Pelodiscus sinensis: one gene and its partner. The protein of the gene in region 2 purifies or fractionates together with the protein of the main gene of each other region. This does not show direct contact. Links are inferred from orthologs where the notes say so. Each region holds a gene or a part of one and is shown on either strand. Other genes may lie near its edges.

What was found. The genes of interacting proteins can lie anywhere in the genome.
Region 1: the proteins of PPP6R2 (region 2) and ANKRD52 purify together in Homo sapiens (affinity purification with mass spectrometry; 3 studies listed by BioGRID and IntAct, counting the BioPlex papers as one, with this or other methods). This does not show direct contact. The link is inferred for Pelodiscus sinensis from reciprocal best matches to the Homo sapiens genes PPP6R2 and ANKRD52.

What each region holds. Positions count from the first base shown.
Region 1 is NC_134729.1:3,912,986-3,920,722, forward strand, and holds the start of ANKRD52 (serine/threonine-protein phosphatase 6 regulatory ankyrin repeat subunit C), read left to right. Parts: upstream 1-4,209; 5' UTR 4,210-4,333; coding exon 4,334-4,360; intron 4,361-7,737. UniProt on the Homo sapiens protein: Putative regulatory subunit of protein phosphatase 6 (PP6) that may be involved in the recognition of phosphoprotein substrates.
Region 2 is NC_134711.1:648,855-657,372, reverse strand, and holds the start of PPP6R2 (serine/threonine-protein phosphatase 6 regulatory subunit 2), read right to left. Parts: upstream 3,559-8,518; 5' UTR 3,402-3,558; intron 1-3,401. UniProt on the Homo sapiens protein: Regulatory subunit of protein phosphatase 6 (PP6). May function as a scaffolding PP6 subunit. Involved in the PP6-mediated dephosphorylation of NFKBIE opposing its degradation in response to TNF-alpha.

The DNA.
Region 1 (7,737 bases), on a different chromosome or scaffold from region 2:
TCCCCAAAGTGAGCTTTTGCTCCGTGGGCTTTCTTGAGGATCCTAGAAATCATCCTTAAAGCACGACTGGGTCAAACCACTTATCCATGTTTCATCTTTCTTTGACTATAATCATAATAAAATACACTTACCGTTGAACTCTGGTTTTGCATTCATGAATCTCAAAGTGCTTTACAAACTAATATTGACGTCTCAGAGACCTCATGGGAGGGTTAAAACTATGATGCTCATTTCATCGATGGAAGAACTGGGGCAGCAAAAAGGTAAGTAACCTGCCTATGCCTGTGTTGCAGCCATGAACAGAACCCAGGAGTCCTGACTCCTAGATCGATGGGCTAAGCCAGTGCTGGTCAAGATGCATCCCGGGGACCGGAGCCAGCCCACCTAACACTTTGATCCAGCCTGCAGACTGCATCTGGCCAGATTCTATTTATATCCTGCTGCCCGGGCCACTGAATTTCCAGGCAGTGGCTCAGGCAGCAGGATTGTATTTAAAGGGCTCACGACTGCCAGTCGTGGTGCTTCCCCAGCAGGGGCTGGAGCTGTGAGCCCTTTAAATCGCCACAGCAACCCAGCACAGGGCAGCCAGCTCTTTAATTCAAAGCTTCCAGCCCCAGACAACTCTGGAGGGAGGCTAGCCCCATGCTCTGCCCCTTCCACTCCAGGCCCTGCCGGCCCATGACCACCTACCAAAATTCATTAAGTGGCCCCCTTGCAAAAATTATTGCCCACCTCTGGGCTAAGCAATATATCCTGGGACTGATTAGCAGTTAGTGTCTAAACAGTTCCAGATGTCCTTCTATTTTCATTCTCACCACCATTCCCTTTTGACCTTGGAATCTATGAATCATCTAATTCCATCTTCTTTTGGGGAAGCCAGTTACCGAATGTTGCTCAAACCCCAGCTATCAGAGAATTGGACTAGGAATCCCCTCCTTTTGCTTCCTTTGTGGGCAAAGAGAGAAGAAAAAGAGAGGCTACACTACAAATGACTGGAGTAGTCCTCCAGATGCACCAGGCTGCTGATCTTGTGATGCCAGGGAAGGTTTAGTCCGACTGCTTCCTCCTTCGGGGAAATATGTCACTGGTGAAAATGTCAACAGCTGCTCTTCATGGCTTTTCAGTGCTATGATTTCACCTTGATTTCACTGGTAGGTAACACTTGGCTAATGGTCCAAAACCATGATAAAAATAGCCCAGCTACAGTATCAACAGTACAAACAGCTTCCCGGCTCCTCCTCTGAGCTCAGTTCAACCGGAGATCAAAAGTAGAGCCCCAAGTGGTGCTGCCCCACCAGCCCCCCAGACTATGTCCCCACCACGCTCCATGGCAGTCAATGTAAATATGTCTGTGGATGTTGTTTCAAAACACAGAGGCAGCTATTCAAAGCGGCGCCCTCAAATAGCGACAGAGAGGGCAATTAGAAACGCCTTGCCACAGCAGAAAATGGTTATTCAGCTCCTCTGGTTGCACCGATCACTTGTTTCTTTAAACAGGACTTTTTCTTTGAGGCGCTCCCAAAACTTGCCCCAACAAGCACCAGGGTGGCAGCTTTTGGAAGCTCTCCTGAACTGTAGCTGCCTAGTAGAGACTACAGGTCCCTACATCTACAAGGCCCGCTGAAATGTCCCAGGATCAATTGGTAAAGATTTGTGAGCCACTTTTGGGGCCTTTTGTCTGGCAGGTTTCACTTGCCTATGAGGTCGCTATTAGAGTCATTCAGCAATGGTTATCTGGGGTCCACAGAGCACCACTTTGTTGTTATGATTTGTTACTTGTTAAGCAAAGACAATATGCTAGGTGCTCTGGTATAGGGATGTGAAGAATAGTTGACTAGTCCTTCCCCATCCTCCTTGCTGCCTCTATCTAGCCAAACCTGGCAGCCTTGGGACAAAGGAAGGATAAGGGGGGCCCAAAATGTAGGGAGGTCAGAGGCAGCAAAGAAGAGGGGGTACTTCAAAGCAGCAGCACCTCTTGAAGCCTGGTGCCAGGCTCCACACAGCACTGCCCCTTTGAAACACCACATGCAGCCTGGGGCCAGCTGCAGTGTCCCCAGGCTGCATGCAGAGTTTCAAAGGGGCAGCACCACATGGAACCCAGGATCAACTGGGGACTCCCCTGACGATCCTGGGCTCTGTGCAGCGCTGCCATGTTAAAACACCATGGGGAGCCCAGTGTCAGGCAGCACTGCATGGAGCCCAGGATCAAGCCCAGCCGACCCCAGGCTCCACATGGCACCTTTGCCTTTGAAGTGTAGCAACAACCCTAGGGCATCGATTAGTCAATATTTAACATCCTTATCCTTACTCTGGTATCAAAACAATCCTTGGTCTGAAGAACCTACAACCTACAATATAACATCCCAATCCTGAAAACATCTACTACCAAGCGCAATGCGTACTTCCATAAATAGATCCTTTGAATTCATAGATGGAAGCATTTACACCTGGGAGTGAGTTTTAAAGGATCAGGACCTAAAAGACTGGCACAGAAATGAGAACTGTTTAATAGTTAATTTCTTGTGTACATGGTGAAACCAGGAGATTTTAGGAAGGCACCTGAAGAAAGAGATCTGAATTCTGCACTACACAGTCATGACGGTCTCTTCTGGCCTTGACGTCTATGAGAGTCACTTCACTGGGCACCCCTCTGTTTCAGCTTCCTAAAATCAGAGAGTCAAGTCCATGTAAAACTCGGACCTCCTGATTTCCAGATGAGAGGGATAGCCACAAAGGACCAAACTTTCCACTCTGAGGTCCGGTCTCTACTCGACAATATGATTAGTATAGCTACATTTGTTAGGAGCGTAAAAAAAATCATACCCCAACCGATAGGCCTGGATTGGCAAAAGATCTAGTGTAGACACAGTTTTAGCGGCAACAAAAATATTTGGCAAGTCTTAACGATTCCATTGGGCGAACAGAATGAAAAACCGTTTTGCTGGAATCGCTGTCTCCACTAGGGGGATTACCATTGTGTCCGTACCAGCAAACCCTTTGTAAACAAGGCCTGAGAGGCAGCTTGGTCTGTGCTAGGAGTGTTCTCTGGAAAACGTGCACTTGTGCGGCTGCTTAGGAGAAATTCCAATGTTACCCAGCTGATTAGTAGAGCGCCCATAGCTAGACTTTTTGTTGCTACTGGTGGTGCACATCCCTCAGTGCACATCAAAAAATTATTCCACACAGGGTGGGAAAAAATCCACACATGGATGGAAAAGATTAGAGGTAATCTTTTATTGTGAATACTAGATACTTTTTATTGTGAATACTAGATACAAGTCAGTGGATTCTCAGATAGAAGTGCAAAGAATGAATGTAATAATTTGATCAGCTTTTAATTCTTATTTATTACAGGGGCTACCAACCCATCCCACTTGGAAGCCATCAGGAAATGGTGGTAGATCCCTGTGGTTATAGCAATTGACCAGACGTGTAGGTAGGGCTGTTCCTCACCTCTTGCCACAGGCTTTGGGGGGACACTGAGGCACCTAACTTGCCCAAGTTTCTCTATTGTTTTGCTCACCCGTCTCAGCTGAGACCCAACCATGTGGGGTGGATGGACTGGGTTTGAGGGAAGCTCACAGGCCCACGTGCAAAATGGACTTACCTGGATTGCCCCTGTTGAGGCGATGGCAAAGTTCAGGAGAAGTGATGCACCCCAGGGCAAAAAGGGGGTGCCAGGTTGTCCAGGGGGTCCAGGCTGCAGGGTCCAGGCACTGCTGGCAGGGGTGGCCCTAAGTGACCCTCCTCTGTCAGAGAGGATCTCTTTGAGGCCCTGGCACCTAGCCCAGCACCTCTTGGGCCCCAGATCCACTGCAGAGCTCCATGGGTCCCAGGTCACCCCCCCTGGAGACTCACACATCTCGCCCCCCCCCCCCCGGGATCCATGGGGCCTGGCCCCCCCTCTCGGGGATCCATGGGAGCCGGCCCCCCCTCAGGGATCCATGGGGCCTGCCCCCCCCCCTCCGGGATCCATGGGGCATGGCCCCCCCCTCCGGGATCCATGGGAGCCGGCCCCCCCCTCTCAGGGATCCATGGGAGCCGGCCCCCCCCTCTCAGGGATCCATGGGGCCCGCCCCCCCCTTCTCGGGGATCCATGGGGCCGGCCCCCCCCCCGGGGATCCATGGGGCCTGGCCCCCCCCTCTCGGGGATCCATGGGACCTGCCCCCCCCCCCCGGCTCCAGGGCCCCGCCCCGCGCGGGCGGGCTGGCCGCGGGCCGGCAGGGGTCGCTGCGCTCGGGCCCGGTGGGCGGGCTCAGTCCCTCCCCGCCCCGCAGCCGGAGCCGCCGCGGCCGGAGCCTGATGCCGGGAGCTCGGCGCTGAGGCCCGGAGATGGGGATCCTCAGCATCGCGGACCAGGTACCCCCCCCCCGGCCGCGCGGCCTGGCCCCCCCCCCCCCCCGCCGGGCGCCGCCCCAAGGCCCGGCCCCGCCGCGCGCTGCCTCCTTCCCGCCCTCGGGCCCGGCCCCCCCGCCCGGCCCCCGGGCCCCCCCGCCAGTCCCTGGGTCTCCCCGCCCCCCTGCAACCCCCGCTCCCCATCAGGTCTCCCCGGGCCCCCCCCGCCCTCCGGTCTCGTCGCCTTCCTGCCCCCCCCCGCCGGGTCCCCCCACCCGGCCTCCGTGCCCACCCCGCTCCGCCCCCCTGCAACCCTCGCCCCCCATCGGGTCCCCCCGCCCCCCCGCCTGACCCCCGGGCCCCCTCGCCCCCCCTCGCCTGACCCCCGGGCCCCCTCGCCCCCCGGTTCCCCCGCCTCCCCCGCCGGGTCCCCCCGCCTGACCCCCGGGTCTCCCCGCCCGGCCCCCGGCCTCCGTGCCCCCCCCCGCTCCACCCCCCGGGTCCCCTCGCCCGCCCCCCGCCGGTCCCTGGGTCCCCCCGGCCTCCCTGCCCCCCCGCCTGACCCCCGGGTCTTCCCGCCCCCCCCCCCCGCCTGCCCTCTCTTCCTGATCCCCGGGTCCCTCTGGCCTCTCTGCCCCCCCGCCCCCCCAGTCTCTGCCCCCCTCGGCTTCTCTGCCCCTCCCCGTCTGACCCCCGGGTCCCCACCCACCCCCCGGCCTCTCTGCTCCCGCCATCCACTCCTCGCCCCTCCTCCCGCCTGCCCCCAGGACCCCCCTCTGCCCCGCTTCCGTCCCTCCCCCATCTTTTGCTCCTTGCCGACCTGCTGCCCCATTTCCCCGCACCAGCTCCGCCCCGCTGGGCCTGCCTGCATCTCCCCCCCCCATCGGTGTCTCCCCATCTTCTCCCTGCCACCTGGCCCTCCTGTGCCCATCTCCTTCCTGACCCCGTCTCCACCAGCCCCCCCACATCCAACCTTTTTAACCCGCAACCTCCCCAAAAAATGTCCTGGACAGGATTTGAGTCTCCCCGCCTTTATTCCTGCCTGCTCCCTCTGCACCCCACTCTCCCCTTCTTTCAGCCTCCCTCTGGAGAGAGGGGGGGTTGATTTGGCATCATCCACAGTGGGCACCCCACTTTCACAAGTTAAAGGGCAATTCATCTCACCCCCCACACACTTGTGTTATTTGGGGAGTGGGGTAGCATGCCCTGCCGTTTCCCTGCGTGCTGGCAGGCATTTTGCATGTCCCCTGTTGTCTGGGGTGGGGATGTGTGATTCAGCATCCCTACAAACACGGGTCTTGAGCCCCATTTTCCTTGGGGGCAGATGTGAGGCCTGTTTGCACACCACTTGGCTTGTGGGACAACACCCAGCTCAGCAGGGCTGCCTGATCTCAGTAGGTACCCCCACTCCCCAAAAGGGGTGTGTGTGTGTGTGAGGAAGAGCGACTGTTGCGGCTTCCATCACCACGCACCATTTCCTTTAGAAATAGGGATGTTAAAATGGTTAACCGGTTAAATGCTAGCGCTTCACCGGTGAACCATTTTAACTTGGAGTCTGGCCCTGCAGCGGCTATGGGGCCCAGCCGGCTGGTCTCTCTGCTATGGGGGCTGCTTTAGCCACCCCTGGGGGTCACCAGCAAGGGTGGATCAGCTGGTTAACATGTAAGCATATCAGAAAGCCTCATGCTTACCAGTTCACTGTGTCACAGCCCTTCTTAAAAAGGTCAGGTTTCAACCATCTCTGCTTTTGCAAGAAGCGGGACTTTTATTTCCCTCTCCCTGCAGTGTATATACTTCATCTTCCTAAGGCAGGATATGTTGATGCATCATTGTTCTTTGCTTCTCTCCTGGCTTGTCCTCCAATCCCCCTCCCCTGGCCTACCAACATCTAATCTTTACCCCCTGATTTGATGTGACAGGTTTGTTTTTGAGAGCCAGGCTTCTGACTCTTTGAAGCCAAATATTTACCCCTCCCTTGGTCCCTTGCTGTTGCAATCTCACTGATAGGCCAGGTTTTTAAAGCCTCACGTGTCAGGGAGAGAAGGAAAAGGGGAGCTGACCTAAGATTTAAATAGAATTTTTTTTTTTGGGTAACCAAAACATGCAGCTTCCCTTGTGAATGGTAGGTGGGTGTGTCCGTCCCAGCATTGCCGGCAAGCGCCACTGAGGTCTGTGCAGGGCATAATTATCGGCTGTGCATCCTTTTTTGTTTTTGAAATGCCTCATGCTGGTACTAAGTCCGCTGCATTCCACGCAAATGACTCGCTCCTTCTCTCTGATCCCCCCCACCTGTAGCTGCTTTCATGCCTGCGTTTGGACGGAGGGGATGAGCGGGAAGCTGGGGAGCAGGGGCGGGAAGTCTGCCCTGGAAATGCAAGTTCCAGGTTCCGGCTACTGAGCAGATGCCGTGGGGGCTTGTGGTCTCCAGTGCTTGGTGCAGAGAGCTGACTTACTGGGCTGCCTTGAGCCGAGGGTGTTTGTTTTCAGTCCTGGCCCCAGCGCACTTGTTTCTGTACAGACGGAAAGGCCCAGGATAAACAATGGCGGGTAGTCTGGGCCTGGCAGAGAGGTGCAGGGTAGCTGCCAAAGCGTGGGGCTGCCTCTGCTGATGCAGGTGTGTTATGCCTGTGCCGTCAGAACCAAAGATGCCAGTTGGGATTCTGACTTCCCCTGAAGTCCATTGTCCAGGGTACAGCTCCTGTTAACTGTGTGGTCTCAGCCTCCAGGAGCAGAGAGGTGGGGACGGAGGGTGATGCTAGGGACAGACCTGGAGTCCGAGTGCATAAATAACTGTTTGTCCTTCAAGATCCATTTTAGGCCACCAGGAAGTTCAGTGTCGGCATTTTCTGGCTAAAGCCAAGTCTTACGGCAACTAAAGCTAGAACCAGGAGTAGTGTTGTGGGAGGGGAAAAGGGTTTGGCGGTTACTGAGCATGGGATTTGAGAGGCCCACTCTAGGCCGTGTTCACTCGGCTCCCTACATGGGCTCTGAAGAGAGACTCCTTGGGTTCAGGGCCTGCCTTTCTGCCTGCAGGAGGCTTTTCATAACAATCTAGCTGTCTTGAGTATTTGCTTGACTGATGCTATATCCCATTGGGAGTGAGCAGCTCAGGGAATTTGGAGGAGGGATGCAGCATCTTTCCCCTCTACGGCACTCGTTCCAAATCAGGCTGGGTAAGAAACGTAGGAACTGCCAGACTGGATCAGACCTGTCATCCATCTAGCCCGGGGTGGCCAACCCCTTAAAGTGCGGCTCGTGAAGCCTCCCCCACAGCTTGCAAAACCATCCCTGCGCCCCTAGAAATGGTCCCCGCCCCCCAACTCCCTGTGCTCTCCGGGGCAGGGGAGCTGTCCAGTGCAATGATTCAAGATGTTATCGCCAAGATGGCAGCGGCAGACAGG
Region 2 (8,518 bases):
TATAAGCAAAACCTGTCAATGCTCAAAGGGGTTGCTTATGCTGCTAAAAAGCTTAAGGGGAAAGTAGGGTGGCACAGCAGAAAAAAAGCGCAGGAGGCAGCATATTGTTGAGGCTGGGGATCAGGATCTGCAGGACTGGAGAAAGGGAAGGCAAAGAGCGATGCCTTTCAAAACACTGGGCTTCCCCAGCATCCACAGCTTGGAACCCCTTCAAGGAAGGTAGGTGCCTTTTAGCTATTCAGCAAGGGATGGGAGAAAAATACTGTAAGATTCTGGGGACCTAGCAAGCTGACACTTCTGGGATAGACCTGGGACTCAGGATGTCAGGACGGGAGACTGACACACAAGGAGGGTCAGTAGTGTTACAAATGGCGAGGTGGACACTGGAGGTGAGAAGGATTCACGGGAGGAGGCAGTGGGCAGATACAGGGGGTAGGAAGGGTCATGAGGGAGCAGACACATCTGGGGGGGCTCAGGAGACTGACACATCTAGGGAGGGATCAGGGTGTGCTGCGCAGGCTAGGGAGGCACACACAGTCAGTGGAGGGGATCACAGGTCTCACAAGGAGCCAACTTGGGGAGTACATGGGGAGACTCAGGAAGCAGACACACTGATGAGTACATGGTGAGGCAGGCAAGCTCAGGGTACCACAGGAAGGCAAGCAGGAGGTGGGGGGGACTGATGTTTCCATGGAGAGGGCTCATGGATGTTGGGAGAGTGAAGCACATCTAGATCCACAGGCATCTCTATGGGGGGCTCAGATATATCCAGAGAGAGGGAGCTCAAGAGGGCAGGCACATTGGATAAAGGGGGCCTCACGTGCTTCATGAGGCTAGAGGGCAGACACTATGGGGGAGAGCTCATGATGGCTCAGATTCCCAGGGGAGGGAGGACAACACACACTTTGGAGCAGGTCCATCCAGGGATGTAGACACCTCAACTGGGAGGAGGGCTTAGTCACCTCAGGGGAGGCCCATGGTGATAGGCACACCCAAAGGAGGAAGACACCTGGTAAGGGAGCTCACAGGGCAGGCACACTGGGGGCTAGAGGCATCACCGGGAGCTCAGACAGCTCCGGGGCAGGTAATGGGAGAAGGGTCAAACAGCTTTGGGAGTTAAGGGGGCACAAAAAGCTCCAGGTGCACTGGGAGGGGGTGTCAGACAGCTCTGAGAGGTATGGGGGGGCACTGCCAGCTCCAGGGAGGCACTGGGGGGGGCATCAGACAGCTCCAGGGAGCACTGGGGGGGTGCTGGGAGTGTCAGACAGCTCAGGGGCGCTGGGGAGGAGCACAGGGGGGCAGACAGCTCGGGGTGCTGGGGGGTCAGGCAGCTCAGGGGGGCACTGGAGGGGGGGATCAGACAGCTGGGGAAGTGTTGGGAGGTCAGACAGCTCAGGGGGCCCTCAGTGGATCACGCAGCTTGGGGGCAGGCCTCGGGGGCGCTGAGGGCTCGGAGCGCGGGGGGGCACTGGGGGCTCAGGGAGTTCGGGGGGCTCGGGGGGCAGGCTCCTGGGGGACTCGGGGGCGCTGCTGGCAGGGAGCTCGGGAGGTTCGGGGGGGCAGGCCCGGAGGGGGTCGGGGGGCAGGGGGCTGGGCGGGGCAGGGAGCTCAGGGGGGGCAGGCCCGGGGGGTACTCGGGGAGGCAGGCTCTCGGGGGTGCTGCCAGCAGGGAGCTCGGGGCGGGCTCGGGGGGGTCAAGCTCGAGGGGCCAGCCCGGGGGGGGGCTCTCGGGGGCGCTGCCGGCAGGGAGCTCGGGGGGGGGACCCGGGGGGGCTCTCGGGGGTTCGGGGGGGCAGGCCCGGGGGGGCTGGGGGCTGGGGGGGCTCTCGGGGGCGCTGCTGGCAGGGAGCTCAGGGGGGGCTCTCGGGGGTTCGGGGGGGCAGGCCCGGGGGGCTGGGGGGGCTCTCGGGGGCGCTGCCGGCAGGGAGCTCGGGGGGGCCCGATGGGGGCGGGACCGGGGGGCTCTCGGGAGGGGATCAGGCCCGGGAGGTTTGGGGGGGCTCTCGGGGGCGCTGCCGGCAGGGAGCTCGGGGGGGTTCGGGGGGGCAGGCCCGGAGGGGCCCGGGGGGGACTCTCGGGGGCGCTGCCGGCAGGGAGCTCGGGGCGGGCTCGGGGGGGGTCAAGCTCGAGGGGCCAGCCCGGGGGGGGGCTCTCGGGGGCGCTGCCGGCAGGGAGCTCGGGGGGGGGACCCGGGGGGGCTCTCGGGGGTTCGGGGGGGCAGGCCCGGGGGGGCTGGGGGCTGGGGGGGCTCTCGGGGGCGCTGCTGGCAGGGAGCTCAGGGGGGGCTCTCGGGGGTTCGGGGGGGCAGGCCCGGGGGGCTGGGGGGGCTCTCGGGGGCGCTGCCGGCAGGGAGCTCGGGGGGGCCCGATGGGGGCGGGACCGGGGGGCTCTCGGGAGGGGATCAGGCCCGGGGGGTTTGGGGGGGCTCTCGGGGGCGCTGCCGGCAGGGAGCTCGGGGGGGTTCGGGGGGGCAGGCCCGGAGGGGCCCGGGGGGGACTCTCGGGGGCGCTGCCGGCAGGGAGCTCGGGGGGGTTCGGGGGGGCAGGCCCGGGGGGGCCCGGGGGGGACTTTCGGGGGCGCTGCCGGCAGGGAGCTCGGGGGGGTTCGGGGGGGCGGGCCCGGGGGGGCTCTCGGGGGCGCTGCCGGCAGGGAGCTCGGGGGGGTTCGGGGGGGCAGGCCCGGGGGGGCCCGGGGGGCCCGGGGGGGCGCTGCCGGCAGGGAGCTCGGGGGGGTTCGGGGGGGCAGGCCCGGGGGGGGCCCGGGGGGGCTGGGGGGCGCTGCCGGCAGGGAGCTCGCGGGGGTTCGGGGGGGGTGGGGGGGGGCTCTCGGGGGCGCTGCCGGCAGGGAGCTCGGGGGGGGTTCGGCGGGGCCCGGGGGGGGGCTCTCGGGGGCGCTGCCGGCAGGGAGCTCGGGGGGGTTCGGGGGGGCAGGCCCGGGGGGGCCCGGGGGGGCGCTGCCGGCAGGAAGCTCGGGGGGGTTCGGGGGGGCAGGCCCGGGGGGGGCCCGGGGGGGCTGGGGGGCGCTGCCGGCAGGGAGCTCGCGGGGGTTCGGGGGGGGGTGGGGGGGGCTCTCGGGGGCGCTGCCGGCAGGGAGCTCGGGGGGGGTTCGGCGGGGCCCGGGGGGGGCTCTCGGGGGCGCTGCCGGCAGGGAGCTCGGGGGGGTTCGGGGGGGGCAGGCCCGGGGGGGCCCGGGGGGGCGCTGCCGGCAGGGAGCTCGGGGGGGTTCGGGGGGGCAGGCCCGGGGGGGGCCCGGGGGGGCTGGGGGGCGCTGCCGGCAGGGAGCTCGGGAGGTTCGGGGGGGCAGGCCCGGGGGGCCCGGGGGGGCTGGGGGGCGCTGCCGGCAGGGAGCCGGGCGCGCGGCGGCTCCGTCCCCAGGGACCCCGGGCTCGGCCGCGCTCTCACCTGCTCGGGGCCTCCCCGCGCGGCCCGAGGCGCGGCCGCTCCCCGGCTGCAGAGGCGCGAGGGGCGGCGGCGGGTCGCGCTGTCACCGGGCGCCGGGCTGAGGGCTCGGACGCCTCAGGCTCGCTCGCTCCAAAATGGCGGCGGGAGCGGCCTGCCCAGACCCGGGAAGGGGGCGGGCCTGCCGCGCGGAGTGGGCGGGGCCAATGGAGTGACAGGCACGTGAAGCCGCTGGGCAGCTCCAGGGTAGGAGCAGGGGGAAGGTTCCATGGGCATGGGGAGGGGAGATGGGACGGTTCCATGGGGTGGGGGAAGGTTCCATGGATATGGGGAGGGGAGATGGGAAGGTCCCATGGGCGGGAGGGGGAAGGTTCCATGGGCATGGGGAGGGGAGATGGGAAGGTCCCATGGGCGGGAGGGGGAAGGTTCCATGGACATGGGGAGGGGAGCTGGGAAGGTCCCATGGGCGGGAGGGGGAAGGTTCCATGGGCATGGGGAAGGGAGATGGGAAGGTCCCATGGGAGGGGAGATGGGAAGGTCCCATGGGCATGGGGAGGGGAGATGGGAAGGTCCCATGGGCGGGAGGGGGAAGGTTCCATGGGCATGGGGAGGGGAGATGGGAAGGTCCCATGGGCGGGAGGGGGAAGGTTCCATGGACATGGGGAGGGGAGATGGGAAGGTCCCATGGGCGGGAGGGGGAAGGTTCCATGGGCATGGGGAAGGGAGATGGGAAGGTCCCATGGGCGGGAGGGGGAAGGTTCCATGGGCATGGGGAGGGGAGATGGGAAGGTCCCATGGGCATGGGGAGGGGAGATGGGAAGGTCCCATGGGCGGGAGGGGGAAGGTTCCATGGGCATGGGGAAGGGAGATGGGAAGGTTCCATGAGGAGGATGGGAAGGTTCCGTGGCGGGTGGGAATGGCATTTGGCGTGGGGGAGAATGGCTACTTATACTATGGGTACTTATGTTCTTAAGTTTGGTGAAAGACCTGGTATAAATATTGATTGACTCCCTGTATCCATGTGCTTGTTAACACCCTTAAAGAATCCTAATAGATTAGTGAGGCATGATTTCCCTTAGAAAAGCCACATTGGCTCTTTCCCCACAAAACACATTATTGATTGGTCTGATCATTTTGTTTTTACCATAGTTTCTACCAGTTGCTGGGTACTGACCAGCGCCCCCTCAGCCCCCAAAAAAACCATGATTTCTCTTCTACCATCCTTAGGGAGGAGGGCTGGGACAACCCTCACCTCTACCCCAGGCCTCACTCCTGCTCCGCTCTTTCCCGCCCTGATCCACCCCCATCCCGCCTGTAATTGCCAGGATGTTCTCTGAAGCTCTTTTTAAAAATCAGTTCAACTGCCCTCTACATGCCAGCCTGGTACAAGAAAATGATTACTTGGAATTTGAAAAATGTCACATTGGACCATTTCCCATAGTCTCTCAGTGTGTCTTGTCTTCCCTTTGCCTGTCTTATTTAGGCCTTCATCCTGCAAATACTTTCAGTCTTAATGTTCAGCATTTGTGTTATTTCATGGAAGTCTAAAGGGCTACTCACATAAATAAAGTTACTCACATGCAAGTCTTTGCAGGTTTGGAGATGATGGCCAAATCTTCAGGTAGGGTTGCCAGATGGTTTAACAAAAAATACCGAACATCTCCCCCCTCCCCGCAAAAAAACAAAACAAAACACCAGGAAAAATTCCGTTGAGAAAAAAAAGGGGGAAACCAAAGTTGTTAAGAAAAAAAAAAGGGGCACCACGACTTTAAATGGCCCTGTGCTCCTAACTCCCCGGCCCCCACCAGACACTGCAGGGGAAAATTGTCCCCGCCGGGCTTCTGTCCGAGGGAAACAGGAAATACTGGACAGTTCACATGTCCAGTATTTTCTGGTTTTTTAACCGGACGGGGGACCCAAATAACGGACAGTCTGGGTGAAAACCGGACACCTGGCAACCCTGTCTTCAGGAGAAAAGATTTTTTCCAGTAACACTAAACCGGCATACACCCCTAATGTAGGCACAGTTTATACAGGCAAAAAAGTGTTTTTGGTAGTATAATGTATACAGTATAAGGGTGGTTTTACTAGTAGAACTCTATCCACACTAGGACTTTTGCAAATATAGGCTTATTACACACACACACACACACACACACACACACACACAATTCCTAATTGGTGTTACTACACCTGCAAATGTTTCCAGTAGACCTGGAGTTAGTCTGTAAGCTCTTTAAGGCAGGGCCTCTTCGATGACTTTTAAACAGGATACTGGGAATCATTAAGAAGGGGATAGAGAATAAGACAGTGAATATTTTATTGCCTCTCTTTTAATCTATGGAACACTCACGTCTTGAATACCGCGTACCGATGTGGTCGCCTCCTCTCAAAAAAGATACATCGGCATTGGAAAAAGTTCAGAAAAGGGCAACATAAAAATATTAGGGGTATGGAATGACTGCCATCTGAGGAGAGATTAGTGAGAGCTTTGGTGAGGTCAGCCCCCAAATACGCTTAAGTTCTGCAGGACCTTAAGTGCAAAAATATGGTCAGAATTTGGGAACTTCATAGGAATAAAACTCTGGACCCGTGGTTCTTAGATACCTCAGGAAAACTGAACTCTGGCAGGCCTCGTCCTCTAGTCTAGAGTTTGGGAGCTTACTTACCTTCTCTGCAGACCAGAAGTTCTCTGCATCTCTCTGCCACAGAATTCCTAAATGTCACAGGCCCAGAACACTTGGGAAGCCCAAGTAAAAGCTCTACAACAACCAAGTGAAATACTCCGGGGCCAAGCCTCAGATCATCAGAACCCGTCAAAAAGTTAAGAAATATCAATGTTAAGATTGAATGCCAAAGCCTGCCTCGGTTACCATGTGTATGCTTTCTGGTGCAGTCTTTAACCATGAGGTCACAAGTTTTCCCAGACGATACAATATTACAATACAACCTTTAATTTGTTGAGTCTAGGATCTCAGATACACATGCATCTCAGATTGCAGAAAAATTGTATTATGGCACTGAATTTCTCCCTGGACAACTAAATAGGCTAAGTTACCGAGGAGACAAATGAAGCAAAAATTTAAAAGGAATTTAAGATCATTTAAATCTGTTTATTTGTAGAGAAAGGGCTTGAGAAGTCCGATTAAGAATATTAAAGTGGAGTCCATGTGAACCAAAAAGACCAGCGAATTCAGCCAAATAGTTTTCCCCTTCTATAAAATGCCTTCAAGGAATCAAGGAAATTCGTACAGCTGTCACCACCACACATACATTTTATCTGGGCAAGTGTTTGCCAAAAAGATTAAGTAAGAATGGTAGTGATAGGTCTAGGAACCTCTGAGAAGCAAACAATAGGCAGAAGACATACTAAAGAAATGTGCACTGTCATTTCAAAGAGGAACAATAATGGGCACAAGGCCAGCACAGATCCTGGGTGAGCTCCAGATGTCTCCCTTGACAATTACATCTTCCAAGACTCAGATTACAGGGCAGACGAACAGTCAAGCTCAGATTTAAAGCTTAACAATCAGTATCTTGGACAGACACATAGGAGGGAAAGGACACCAAATATAGTTTGTATTGGTAAAGGGATTTCTCTCTATCTGGACAAATACAATAGTCTGTTAGAATCATAGAATCATAGAATAAAAGGACTGGAAGGGACCTCGAGAGGTCATCGAGTCCAGCCCCCCGCCCTCAAGGCAGGACCAAGCTCTGTCTACACCATCCCTGACAGATGTCTATCTAACCTGTCCTTAAATATCTCCAGAGAGGGAGATTCCACCACCTCCCTTGGCAATTTATTCCAATATTTGACCACCCTGACAGTTAGGAATTTTTTTCTAATGTCCAATCTAAACCTCCCCTGCTGCACTTTAAGCCCATTACTCCTTGTCCTGTCCTCAGAAACCAAGAGGAACAAATTTTCGCCTTCCTCCTTGTGACACCCTTTTAGATATTTGAAAACCGCTATCATGTCCCCCCTTAATCTTCTTTTTTCCAAACTAAACAAGCCCAGTTCATGAAGCCTGGCTTCATAGGTCATGTTCTCTAAACCTTTAATCATTCTTGTCGCTCTTCTCTGTACCCTTTCCAATTTCTCCACATCTTTCTTGAAATGTGGCGCCCAGAACTGGACACAGTACTCCAGCTGAGGCCTAACTAGTGCAGAGTAGAGCGGCAGAATGACTTCACGAGTTTTGCTTACAACACACCTGTTGATACAACCTAGAATCATATTTGCTTTTTTTGCAACAGCATCACACTGTTGACTCATATTCAACTTGTGGTCCACTATGACCCCTAGATCCCTTTCCGCCATGCTCCTTCCTAGACAGTCGCTTCCCATCTTGTATGTATGGAACTGATTGTTCCTTCCTAAGTGGAGCACTTTGCATTTCTCTTTATTAAACCTCATCCTGTTTACCTCTGACCATTTCTCTAACCTGCTAAGGTCATTTTGAATTATGTCCCTATCCTCCAAAGAAGTCGCAACCCCACCCAGTTTGGTATCATCTGCAAACTTAATAAGCGTACTCTCTATCCCAATATCTACATCTGTTAAATGATTTTAATGCAGTTTCTAGTCACTGGGCCAGATTCTGCTCCATATTACAGTGGTGTAAATCTGGAGTGACTCCACCGGCTCTACATTTACATTTTTAGCTTCTCATGCAGGGCAATGTCAGTTTATTAACATCCAATCAATTCTTTTACTTCTAGCCTTTCTACCATCTATTTGGGGGTGGCTCTTTGAGTCCCTTTCCATTCTGTCTAGAAGCAGCTCCTCAGAAATGCCAATGCTCAGCAAACCCTTTTGTATAGCATCCGTGCATCTAGTTTTAGGTTCTCCGCCCCTGCTCTTGGACTCCTAAGTCCTGGTCTACGCTACACGGTTTTAGCGACAAAAGTCAGTTCTTGTCCACAACACACAGAAAATGCAACCATGCTAGGCCAACATCAAGGAGCTGCGGCTGGCCTACCAGAAGGCAAGGGAGGCTAGCTCTCACTCTGGTGTGGCGCCAAAGAGTTTAAGGAACTGCACACCACCCTTGGTGGGAACCTCACCTCCACTGCCAAGAGCCCCACAGATACTTCAGGGGAACTGGAGGCCGTGG